2 linked regions of the Tribolium castaneum genome follow. The protein of the gene in region 2 purifies or fractionates together with the protein of the main gene of each other region. This does not show direct contact. Links are inferred from orthologs where the notes say so. Each region holds a gene or a part of one and is shown on either strand. Other genes may lie near its edges.

Region 1 (5,873 bases), on a different chromosome or scaffold from region 2:
TAATCAAAAAACGAATAGAAGACGATCAACGCTTTATTTTTAATTTTACTAAAAATAAATAATAATAATGATGTAAGCTCTAGAATATTTATGATGGGAAGTTGGGAACCTGATAATGTCTCCCTATTTAAACATTTTTTAAATTACGTACAAAAAAGTACAAATGACGATAAAACACACCAAAGTTAAGTAATTTAAATTATATGTTAAAATAAATGCCTTACACAATTTAACCATAGGCAAAAACATCTGATAAACATTAAAGAATTTTGAAGAAAGTATTAAAATTTATTTATTTTAAAAATACATAAACACATTAAAATATTGCACGGTTAGCAGTGACTTTAGCTCTAAGATTAGTTTCGAAAAAGCACAATTAATAAAAACATTAGCACAACAATCCAAATTATAAAAAATAAGTGAGAGGCTAACTTGACTGACCCCAATACCTTTGTTTTCAGAGTTTGGCGAGAGAAATTATAACATCGGTTGCTTCAATATCATCTTGCATAATCTCTATTTTTTTCGTAAAAAATTTGTCGAGAATGGATTCGCTGCACATAAATTTTGCAGCGTAATATTTGGATAAATAAAAGACCGTTTAAAAAATTAAACTTTATTAGAACAAATTACAGAGCAAATAGATAATGCGTGTCTGGTAGTTTTCCCCCGAAATTCAGCTTCCCTGCTTGCGGACAGTGAATTCTTCTCATAACTTCTTTAATTTCATTGACACTAATGGGGGGCTGTCCACTGTAAACCCTGCTATAGTCTGGATTGTTACCACTAGCCCCTATCCTATAATCCCCATTAAACATCGTAGAAGTGTAGTAATTGCCGTATAAATGATTCAGTGGATCACTCCCACATTTGCCCTCCATCCTCACAAGCAACGCATAATCGGTTATCTCAGCAACTGTCTGGTACCCCAAATACGACAAAACCACCATAGCATTAGTGCTGAAATTAATTTCCTTTTTCGGGTCAATCCACTGTCTTAATTTTTCGGAGTTTCGGGCCGTGATATCTCTACTGCAAAACGAGGTGGCTCTCGCTTTGCAAAACTCCAAATACCTCTTCTCGTCCAGGGCTTGAGATATGCGATCAGCCCTCAGCATCCTCGACTGTTTGACTTCATCAACTTCGGATAAATCGGTGAATTCTCCCGTCTCGTCTATGTACTCGATAAACTTCATTAGCTCGTTCTTCGGTATGGGATCTCTGTCAATTTCAATGACCCCCGAGTTCAACGACTGGAGTTGCTGTTTGAGTTGCTTGTTTTTCAAATATTGGAAAAAGCGGCGCATTTTGTGCTTATTGTGCCGCATTAGGAACACCAACTCCTTGCCTTTGAGGTTCTTACCATCGGAGTACTTCAGCGCTTCCTGGACGATCATGCGGAGCTGCTTCAACACGATGCTCTCCACCAAACGCACCGTCTCGGGGTTCGGCTTGTGGCTGTCGCCGAACCCAAACATCATCAGCGAGATTTCGTTACAAAAGGTTGTTTTTTGGGAATCCATCAGTTTTTGTCAACAAACACCTAACCTCAATTGACAACAAATATTTTCCCCACAGAATAACAGGTTTTTTTCCCCAATCAAACACAGCCGGTTCAAAATACCAGCCCGTGATTGGTCCTTAGCTCACAACGCCGCCAAAAGAAAATAAAAATCCCCAAGTTAAACGTCAAGCGCCATAGTTTGTGGTTACAATAATTTTGAAAAATAAACACGTTTTGCGAAAAAAAGTGGAGGAAGAATGGTTGTGGTCACGTCGTTTAAACCACCAGAATCTCCTATAAGACTCGAGCAGTCAAACGTTGTGGTGATTTTGGATAAACGTGATCTGGGCACCGGAACCCTATTTGTGAGCGAAAGGTAACACAATTATGGCAAAACCAAACGAAAAATACATTGTGTTAAATTACAGGACACTCAGTTGGCAAAAAGACGGGACTACGGGTTTTTCAATTGAATATTACAACGTCTCGCTCCATGCGGTGTCCAAAGACCCCAACGTGTGCGAGAGGGAGTGTATTTATATTTTGACTGACCCCCACATAAATTTGTTTGGTTTGTAATTTTTTGCGCAAAATTTGGTTTATTGTGCGTCGTTTTGTAGGAGAAACTGACCAAAGGCCCGCAAATGATGACAGTGACGTTGAGTCAGAGCCAGACCTCTCGGAGCTGATTTTAGCCCCCGAAAACCCCACACATGTACAAAGTATTTACGAGGCTATAAAAATTTGCCAAGAACTCAATCCCGATCCTGCCGATGTTGACGACGAGGACGATGATAATTTATTCGCGGACGCAGAAGAAGAAATGTTTATAGAAGCAGAGTCTGAGCAGATTGGGGACGCAGTTGTCGACAGTTTGGCCGAAAGGCTACAAAACAACTCAGTCGACGTCCAGTACAGCTACCGGAATGGCAACGAGGATGAGGATTTTGAAGATGCAGACTGATCCCTGAATTATGTTAGGTTTTGTATCTTTAATTTTAATCCATTTTTTATAAAACACTGACTAGTGAAAAGGTTTTATTCCAACAGAAAACAATGTTGAACGAAACAAAAAATGAAATTCCTTGCTTCTCCTTCACAATTCTCAATTCCGATAGACTAAAAACGAAACAATCTATCTATTTCTGAAACATTCTGAACTTCTTTGACCCTTAATCGTATTCAACCATTTCATCCTGAATTCCTCCCATTATCTAACTCTCTTAGGTCCAAAAATCAGGTCGGCGTCGGGCGCCCCCTTGGGGTGCTGGTATTTCTTGCGTTCGCGGTTCAAGTTTTGGGTCACGGGCCTGTTCTGCTGCTGCATCATGTCTTGATAATCCTCCTCTTCAAACCGTTCCGTGATGTTCAGCGTCAAGCGCTTCACTCGTTCCTTCTCCTCCTTCTGAGCCAACTCCTGGTCCCTCAGATTCTGAGCGAGTTCGGAGTTGATATCAGCCTCGAAATTTTTATATTGCTGCTTGTTTCCTTTGCGGACCATTAGCACGAACCCGATTTTGTTGGGTTCCGTTTCAGGGGCGTCCTGCAACTGCTCGTAGGTCTTTTTGTTCGATTTGAGGACAACCGGAACGGAAATGTCCACGTTTCCGGCCTTCACCGGCTCGCGCATCCGCTCTTGGATGTTCTCCGAAACCATTTTATCCAAAGCGTTTAAAAAGTCCTCGTCCTCGGGGCACTCGACCTTGCGGGGGCCACTGGGAATTGCCAGCGATTCGGACACTTGTTCTTGCTCAGCTTCGCTAACATCGGGTTCCCCTAAAAAATAATTAAAAAAATTGGAAGATTTTAAAAGTGAGACGGACCTTCATCGTCCGAGCCTTGTGTGTGGTCCACCGTTTCGTCCTCAGTGGCGGTATCATCAGTAATAGGTGCCGTGACTTCGGACACTTCGTCCTGTTCTTCAGTGTCGGTTTCAGCGATCGTTTCCAGGCCGTCTTCCTCAACTTTATTTTCGTTCAAATCTCCAGTGATTTTATCTAATTGACTTAGTTTTATTTCGGGATTTTTTAAAACAAAGCTTACCAAAGCCCAAAGTGACGCGAATATTATTTAACTCGGTTTGTGTTTCTTCGTAGCTTTGACACAATTTAATTTTTGGTCTCAGGGTCGTGAGAGTGTCTTTAAAAATGTGCTCCAGTGTTGGAGGAAATGCATCTTTCCACAAGTCGCGCTTGAACCAATAATACGATTGCAGAAATATTAAATAATAGTCTAGTCTCCTCTTACTGCTACCGCTGCTGAAATACGTGCCTACAAGTTGAAATTGGCCTAAAACAGTAATTAAAAAATAATAAATTACCGCATGTTTCAAGTAAAACACAAGCCAGTCTTATTCGGAAAAGGTGATTTGGTGGATCGAGTGGCGACGGTATGTTTGGATCCATTGAAACTCCAAATGTTATCAAAGAATACAAAACCTGAGTAAAAGGTTTTATTGTTATTTATAAAAAATTAAACAAACCTTGAAAATGTCAGCGCTTTCAACCATTCTGTAGTTATACAGCTCCCCAAGATATTTTACTTGAGCTACACGTCTCTGGTTATATTTGGGAAGATTTACTTCCATACCTAACCGAATGTCTTCTAAAACACTGTCCACTACACGAGTGCCAACCTCTTCCTGGTAGGTCACCAAGCCCGCAAGCAAATTTGCGAGACACCTAAAAGATAGATTTTTCTTCTTGAATTTTGTAGTTCATAATTTTGGCTCCTATTATTATTAAAGGTCAAGCACTTATAAAAAAACAGCTTATGCAAAATTAGTTAAAAAATTGACTATTATTATTCGTACAATTTCTTCCTGGTAGATAGATCATTAGGCCCGGAAACAAAAGAATTATTTTTCTTCAGCTTTATTTAACTGTTTTGTAGTTCACCTTAATCACGTCTCAGTTATTAAAAGATCAGAAAAAATAGACAAAAAGGAGTCCGTATCATGAAATAAATTAAATATCCGTTGCATAAAAAAATATTAACGCTCCAAAAAAATCAGTTGGAAAAATCGTGGAACACACGTCTTACCTGATATTGAAATACTTCACGTTGTGGGCGCTGCTTAGACACTTTATTGCATAAGCGGACACGTCCTCGTTGCCCCAGTCCAGCTTCCTAATCAGCCTCATAATCTTATCAGTGTTATTCTTCTGCAAGTCTTGAAAGAGCAATTTCCGGATAAACTGGTGCATTATCGGCCTCTCCTTCTTCGTGATTGTTACTTCGGGCGGATTGACGTAATAATAGGCGTTTTCAATTTGCGTCACATATCTCGAATCCAACGCCATAACGGCCTTTTTCCTCATCATTTGCTCCAAATACACCCTCGTCCTTTGATGCGAGTCGGGACTGCAGTACAAAAACCGGCCGCAAACTTCCAACAGATTGCAGGCCATTTCGATGTGATGGTGCGAGAAATCGTACAGCAGAACTTTGAGACAATAGAGAGCTTCTATTTTTGAATAGAGCTTGAATTTGACGAGTTCGCCGATAAATCGTACGACTTTTATTTTGGATTCGATGTTAATTTGGTCTTTCTTGCGTACGTGGTATTTGAAGTCTTGCCGCAGCATTTGGCACAGTTCGTTGCCCACTTCGGGAAGGGCTGGACGGAGGATGGCCACGAAGCGGGCGTAGAACGGGAGGAGGTCGAGACGGGTGCGGTTTACCCCGAACAGGGCACGGACCAGCTTCTTGCGGTTGTGTTTGTTGTTGAGGGTTACGAGGAAATCGATGGCTGCGTTGTCGATCATTTCGCGGTTCACGCAGTTGGGCAAGTTGTTGAAAAATGCCTCGAGGAGGATTTTATTGCTGGCGTTGGTTGTGGCAGAGTCTTCGGGCTCATCTTCCGCTGCCACGGGCGCCTCCTCGGCTTTTTCTAACAAGGCAAATAGTTTTCTGTTGCATTTTTTAATTTTTTATATAAAAAAACAATAATGGCATACAAAATCTTAGTCATTTCAATGCAAGACGTCTTAAATTAAATAATGATATCGATATATCCGACCAAATAATCGTTTGATCTTAAAACCATTTTATTAGATTTATTAGAGCTCTAGGATGCAAAAAAAGGCAAACTCGGTAGAGGCCTCGGAAAAGCACATAGAACGTAGAGTCATGTGGCTAAAGTTTTTCAATTAATTAAATATGTAAAGATTGCGAATCAATAATTTTGGGTCACAAAAACTTACTACATTATAATTTATAAGTATTCGAGACGTAAAATGATGTCTTAAGACAATGAGATCGGCTACTGGCAAGTGATCCCTTTGTTGGCAAATTATACCATCTTCTAATAAATCACGCGTCTGGTTTGTGTTTAAATAAAAAATTGCCGATTGTTTAACCAATAAAG
Region 2 (6,686 bases):
TTGCCTAATAACTGTTTCAAAAGTATAAAAACACCAACGTCGCATTTTTTCTCAAAAAATATTAGTTGTTTCAAATCTATAAAAACGCCAACGTCGCATTTTACCAAATTCTTTTTTTAAATAAGCTTGACAAAATTTCAAAACAGTTATGTATTAATGATTAGATCTCTCATTGAAAGTGTTAATACATTTCCTATTATTATGTGCATGAATAATTTATAGCAGCTAATTTTGAAAGAATTTTGAGACAGCTAATAGCTGTTGTAAATTATTCACGCACTTCAAAAAAATAATGTAGTTTATAGTTTCAATAAGAGATCTAATCATTAATAAGATAATAAGTATTTTATAATTTTATCAATCTTATTTAAAAAAATTATTTGGTAAGATGCGACGTTGGCGTTTTTATAGTTTTTAAACAGCTAATACATTATGGGATTCAAATTAAACTATATGCAAATTAATATTATTTAACACTAAAAATTAAATATTAGTTTTGCTCCAATTGTTCTATAATTTTAGTTTTGAATTTTTAATTCCTAATTTTCTCTGCGTGCACGCCTATCAACGCGGCTCAATGTTAGCCAATTGCAACCTGATATGGTGATTTCGATGAATTCAAATTTCATTGATCAAGTAAAGAATAGTTAAATATAGTTAATTTTTTTTTTATATAATCAACTGTCAGTGTCACAATTTTGTTAAAGACCAGACTATATCACCCTGTGCATATGTAGAAAAACATTATTTAAAGTATTCTTTTACATGAATCATCAGACCAAATAAACAATAATTATTATAATTATAAGAATACTATAAGCACCTACTGGAGAAAATCCATTTTGAGAATTACCAGTCTACTTTGTAGAATGTCAAATTTTGTACATACAGGCTGTCTATTTTTCAAACTCCACCAGGGTATCTCAATTATTATAAGAGATACGTGGTCGGTTGCGCATTTTTATGCTGAACAATTATCGGAAGGAAAATTTTATGCGTCATTTTTAGTTTCTGAATTATTCAGAAAAACCACAAACTTGTAAATTTTGTTTTTAATTTTTCAAATGAAAACTAGAAGAACTACATTCGGTTCACTTTCATAAAAATCATTATGATGGAAATTGGGTACTCTTAGCATTAAGTTTTATATGAGTTGTCGTGGTAACAGGTTAGTTAATTCCACTACAATGGTTTTTATGAAAGTGAATCAAAAGTAGACGTTTTTAAGGACATTTTTCAGGCACTTTTTTACAAAAAGAACGTCTACGCTAGGCGGAGCCAATGCGTACTTGGTCGAGTGGGGAGAATGAGCAGTGGCGTATCAAAAAACTATCCTATAGGAAAAAGGGGTTTGAGTTTTAAACTTTTTATTATTTATTATTTCCTGTATTTAATAATAGCAATATGAGATAATAAGACATCACACATCTGATTCCTACACGTTAGTTGTTAATTTCATATAAACATAAAGCAGAGATGTCCAATAAATAACAAAAACACAATGTGAATGAGTAAAAACGTACAAAAAAGATTTCTTATGTTACCTTTACCATTAATGATATTGAATCGTTAAAAATTACGATGAATTCTTGATACACGAAAATACACACCACACCATTGCTCCATGGACTCATCCGCGACAAGTTTTCATCTCTGCGCACTCCCACCACCGTGGACGTTCTGTCATTTTCATGACTCTACTTATATTTTTCAAACGTCTTTTTGTTCCTGATTAAAAACGCCATCGTCGCATTTTACTAAATTTTTTTTTAAACAAGATTGATACAATTTTAAAATAGTTATTAATGACTGACTAACCTTTAATTGAAAATGTGTAAATTATATTAGCCGTTATTTTTTGAAGGGCATGAATAATTTATAACAGCTAATTTTGAGAAAAAATGAGACGTTGCCGTTTTTAAACTTGAAACAGCTAATACAACATAATTTTCAAGAAAAATTTAGAAAAGAATTTAAACATGAATCTACAACATATTACATAATTATAATACCGTGGAATCGAAAATTAACTGAATTAAAGCGAACCTTGCAAGGGAAGTGTAACTTTGGTCACAATTATTTTCAAAATATGGTGTTGCAAAAGACAGTAAAGGAGACTACGGAGATGTCCAGAAATACTGTTACTGAAAAATTTAGGAGACCACTGATCAATACAGAATACTAGAAATTATGAATATCAGTTTCCTTTCTTTTGCGTGCACTTCCAAGTGTAATGTGGGTCTAGCTGATTCAAAACTATAAAAACGCCAACGTCGCATTTTACCAAATTATTTTTTTTAATGAAATTATAAAATAGTTATTAATACTTAGATCTCATTGAAAATATAAATTACATTAGCTGTTATTTTTTTTAAGTCCACGAATAAGTTATAACAGCTAATTTTAAGGGAAAATGCAACGTTGATGTTTTTATAGTATTGAAACAACTACTCCACTATTGATTGTGACATTGACAATTCTACAATTCACAGAAACAGAGTACACATTGTTTTTTGTTATTAGCACAGTTATTAGTGTTTTTTTTACAATAAATGACTGTTTATTTTTATATGTTTCTGATACCGATCCTTATTTAAACTTGAGTTGGATTAATGGTGATAATTGATAATCACCGTTTTAATCCAAGTTAAAACAATTTTAAAATCTATTGTAACCATAACTTTAAATGATCACATTGTACTTTTTACCAAGTCTTTTGAGAATACTTGCTTGTCCCAAACTATAGAAAAAATACACTTCACACGTAAAAAACTCACAATTTATTACTTCTTGAATGTCATAAATAAAATACACCAAAGAACCTTACTTTTGTAATCTTAAGAAATTAATGGATATAAGTGGAAAATTGAGTTATAAATAATTTACAGTTACAATCAGTGTCTCCTTGCACGTTTCTTTGACCTGAAAAGAAATCAAATCACTAAGATTTAACCATTCAAAACCAAGAAACTTACTTTTTGGGCCCCTTAACAAAACACCAGTCAACTCCAACTGTTTGCCCTAACAACAAAGACCCATTCAAAGCCTCCCTGGCCGCAAACGCTTCCTCGTACGTCCCATATTCAATCAAAGCATATCCCTTCAAAAAACCCGTCCGACGATCCAAGTTGATACTTATATTTTTGATAGCCCCAAACTCGGAAAACTTCTCACTCAAATCATCCTCACTGGCCTCTTCATGCACCGAAGTCACAAACAAAATCCACCCCTCCACAGCTAGAACGCAAAATAACTGTTTACAACACTAAAACTGTTTAAAATGCAAATTACATTTCTGTGGCCCAGGCTCGTCTCCGTGATCCCCGGAATCTATGCTTTCATATCCTCGAATTTTCTCATGTTCCTTGGTCTCTCCAGGCCCAAAGCCGCGACCTTTCCGCTTTACAACTTTATCTTTCAGGCGCAAAACGCTCTCTGGAAATGTGAGGTTAGGAAAAGGAGAGGTTATGTTACGGCTTGCCTACGGTCTCCTTCGTCTTCCACGTCCAATTCGACGGAATCGTTGATGTCCAAAACATCTGCCATTGTAACAACGACACTACACACGTTTTTTTTATTAAAAAAGACCGATTTTTAGCATAAATTTGGGATGCTTCTTTGACGTTTGAAGTCGCGGTAGCGTTGCCAACCGTGCCACTTGTAACACCATAATTCTCCAGATTTAAAAACACGGAATAAAATAAATAAAATAAAAAATACATTTATTTTTATTGCACAAAACACTAATAACATCTAATAATAATAACACACAACATTTCCCTTGCGTCTTTTCAAAATTCTATAATTTCGTTTAACATTCTTTCAAATTATTTATTCCTCAGCATGGATTCAGTACTCGTCCCTAGACTTTTCTTAACATTCTTGTCATATTCTTTTCTAAAACCATATTTAGATCCCGAAAATGTTTCATAATACATTTCTATTTAGCTGTTTCAAAACTATATAAACGCTAACGTGGCGTTTCTTACTTCATTTCCAAATGTTTTTTTAATATTCTTTGTATTTATATTAGCTGTTTCAAGACTATACAAACGCCAAGGTTGATGAAATTGTAAAACAGTTATTAATGTTTAGATCTTTCATTGAAAGTACCATGCGATGTTTTAAAATTTTGATCTAGTAATCCACAACAGTTAAGTTAACCCAATGTCCTTTAGGGAAATAAGAATCCAGCATAATTTTTTATGTTCTTCGGTGAATATTTTAGATATATTGACAGATAAAGCGATGCTGAAGTTATTTACGTAATATATTTCACTGTTGAGGTAACTGTCAAGGATACCTAGATCAAAATTTTAAAAATTCGCTTGTTATAACTTTCATTATTTTTTTTTAGGTGCATCAAAAATTCATAACAGCATTAACAGCTAATTTTGAGACAAAATGTGACGTTGGCGTTTTTGTAGTTTAAAAAACAGCTAATAGACTGAATTCAAAATTCTTTGAAATCACTTTTTTAATACATCCTAAAAATTTTATTTTTGATTTTACTCTGCGACTTTTCAAAATCCTTCGTTTAGATCTTCCAAAATTATGCTTTGATTTTGTGTCACTATTTTTTTAACATTCTTCTCTCATTGTTCTAAACCATCTGTAAATATGAAATAGGAAATAAACTTATTTTATAAATTCATCGTATGGACTTTGATTTAGAAATGCTTTGTTCATCAAAATTCTTTTATAAACGCTTTCTACATTTTCTAAATTCTCCTTTAGATTCCACTTTCTGTCCCTTTCTACAGTTTTATTTAGTATTTTTTTATTATTTTTTTAGTATTCTTTTGTACCAATTCTTTTCTAGATTGCTCTTTTTTCAAAATATTTCTAAAAATGTTTTTCAAATTATTTTAGTCGTCTCTAGATTTAAAATCCAGTCTCTTCTTTGGATTATTTTTTTATAACCCCATCTTTACATTTTTTTTAAATTATTATTCTTTAAATTATTCTTTAGATTCATGTCTAGATTTTTATTTAGAATTATTTTCTATACTGCATTAAAAGTTCTTTATAAACACTACTTCTACATTATCCAAATTCTTCTTTTATTCCATCCTCTGACCCTTTTCTACAATTTCATTTAAGTTAAAATTAAAGTTTTTTTATCAATATTTAGTATGTTTTTTGTACCAATTCTTTTCTATTGTTTCAATTTTTTTTTCTCAATTTTTTTATAAAGCCGTCTCTAATAGTTTTAAAATCCGGTTTCTTCTTTTAATTATATTATAAATCCACTTTATGATTCATTTCTAAATTCTTCCCTTGATGTTTTTCACAATTATTTTGTAACTTATTCAAAATCTTTTTAAAGTATTTCTTATACATTCTCCAAATTAGCTTGTGGCTTGTACGTTTTCTCAAATTCCTTCTATAGCTTCGTTTAGAATTTTTCTAAATTATTCTTTTGTCTTGAGTCTCTAGATTTTTATTCATAAATATTTTGTAGACTGTTCTTTTAGATTTTCCAAATTCTCCTTCAGTTTCCAGTCTCTGTCCCCTTCCACAGTTTCAATTAGAATTTCTTTTTATTAATTTTTGCATTCTTTTTGTACTCTTATTCTTTTCTAGATTTCTCTTTTGTCTAAAATTTATTTTTTTTCTCAAATTTTGTTAAAAAGCTGTCTGCAGATCTATAATCCAGTCTTTTCTTAGACTATTTTACAGTGAGATTATTTTATATTCTATTTATTTTATATTTTTTTGTTTCTTATTGGAATAAAATTTAATGACATTAGGACAGCTTCCTTAAATGGTTGTAAATAAAACGACAAGTTGCAACGTTTCGATTTTATAATAAACTTCATCAGGCTTTTAACTCATTTAAATACTTAAAAGCGACATTGAAAGATGGAAATGCCAGTGACTTAGTAACAACTACACATACAAACACCACACCACTGCGTCTTGACACCAATAGTTTTTTATAAATTATTCTTTAGAATAATTATTTCTTTACAATAATAATTTTTTAGGCTCTACGCAAAATTCTTTTACAAACAGTCTTCTATGTTCTTCAATTTTTTTTATTTTTTTGAGGCTTTTGTGGACTTATTCAATTTAAAAATGCTTGATTTGAATCAAAATTACATAACTCATCTAAATCCTCTTGCATTTGTTCGGTTACCAACCTTATTTAATTTTCTAATTTCAGGCAATAATATTTCAAAACTAGAAAAGAACTGTTTATCTTTTAGAGAACAAAAAAAAACAATACCTTCATTGATTTTTCGGAAAACAACATTGTCAGCATTGATGATGAAGCCTCGAATAAAGTCCCATTTTACATAAATGATCTCGGTCTGTTTGGAAATCAATTACATGACTTATTTAGATTACTTTTAGATAAATCACAAATTTAAAAAAATTAGTGTGGCGTCTATTCAAATTCATGATATTTTAGACGAGTTTTTTTATGAAGACTTCGGAATTGAGCTTTTGTTGATAGACTTAGAAACGTTAAGTAATGACAGTTTGATAAAAATGGCTAATTTTTGCAAGCAAAGAAGTAGTAACCCAACACGTTTAACTTACCAATTATGCGAGTCAGGTGCTGAAAGAAATAAAATTGTTTGACTTGTTTTAACGTTTTTTATTATTTTGTATAGCATTGAAATGTAAATAAATGTACACAAAATGATTTTGGTAAGCTTTAATGACACTAAAACTAA

What was found. Proteins that work in one complex are often made in the same cells at the same time.
Region 1: the proteins of tsu (region 2) and Upf2 purify together in Homo sapiens (co-immunoprecipitation; 6 studies listed by BioGRID and IntAct, with this or other methods). This does not show direct contact. The link is inferred for Tribolium castaneum from reciprocal best matches to the Homo sapiens genes RBM8A and UPF2.

What each region holds. Positions count from the first base shown.
Region 1 is NC_087394.1:28,286,545-28,292,417, reverse strand, and holds the end of Upf2 (regulator of nonsense transcripts 2), read right to left. Parts: intron 5,397-5,873; coding exon 4,547-5,396; intron 4,186-4,546; coding exon 3,987-4,185; intron 3,943-3,986; coding exon 3,825-3,942; intron 3,776-3,824; coding exon 3,548-3,775; intron 3,502-3,547; coding exon 3,328-3,501; intron 3,281-3,327; coding exon 2,715-3,280; 3' UTR 2,530-2,714; downstream 1-2,529. Other genes in the region: uncharacterized protein LOC103312536, read left to right, coding at 462-578; transcription initiation protein SPT3 homolog, read right to left, coding at 630-1,523; icln (methylosome subunit pICln), read left to right, coding at 1,762-1,880, 1,933-2,075, 2,125-2,468. UniProt on the Homo sapiens protein: Involved in nonsense-mediated decay (NMD) of mRNAs containing premature stop codons by associating with the nuclear exon junction complex (EJC).
Region 2 is NC_087399.1:11,506,837-11,513,522, reverse strand, and holds tsu (RNA-binding protein 8A), read right to left. Parts: upstream 3,662-6,686; 5' UTR 3,547-3,661; coding exon 3,486-3,546; intron 3,436-3,485; coding exon 3,292-3,435; intron 3,238-3,291; coding exon 2,976-3,237; intron 2,923-2,975; coding exon 2,895-2,922; 3' UTR 2,766-2,894; downstream 1-2,765.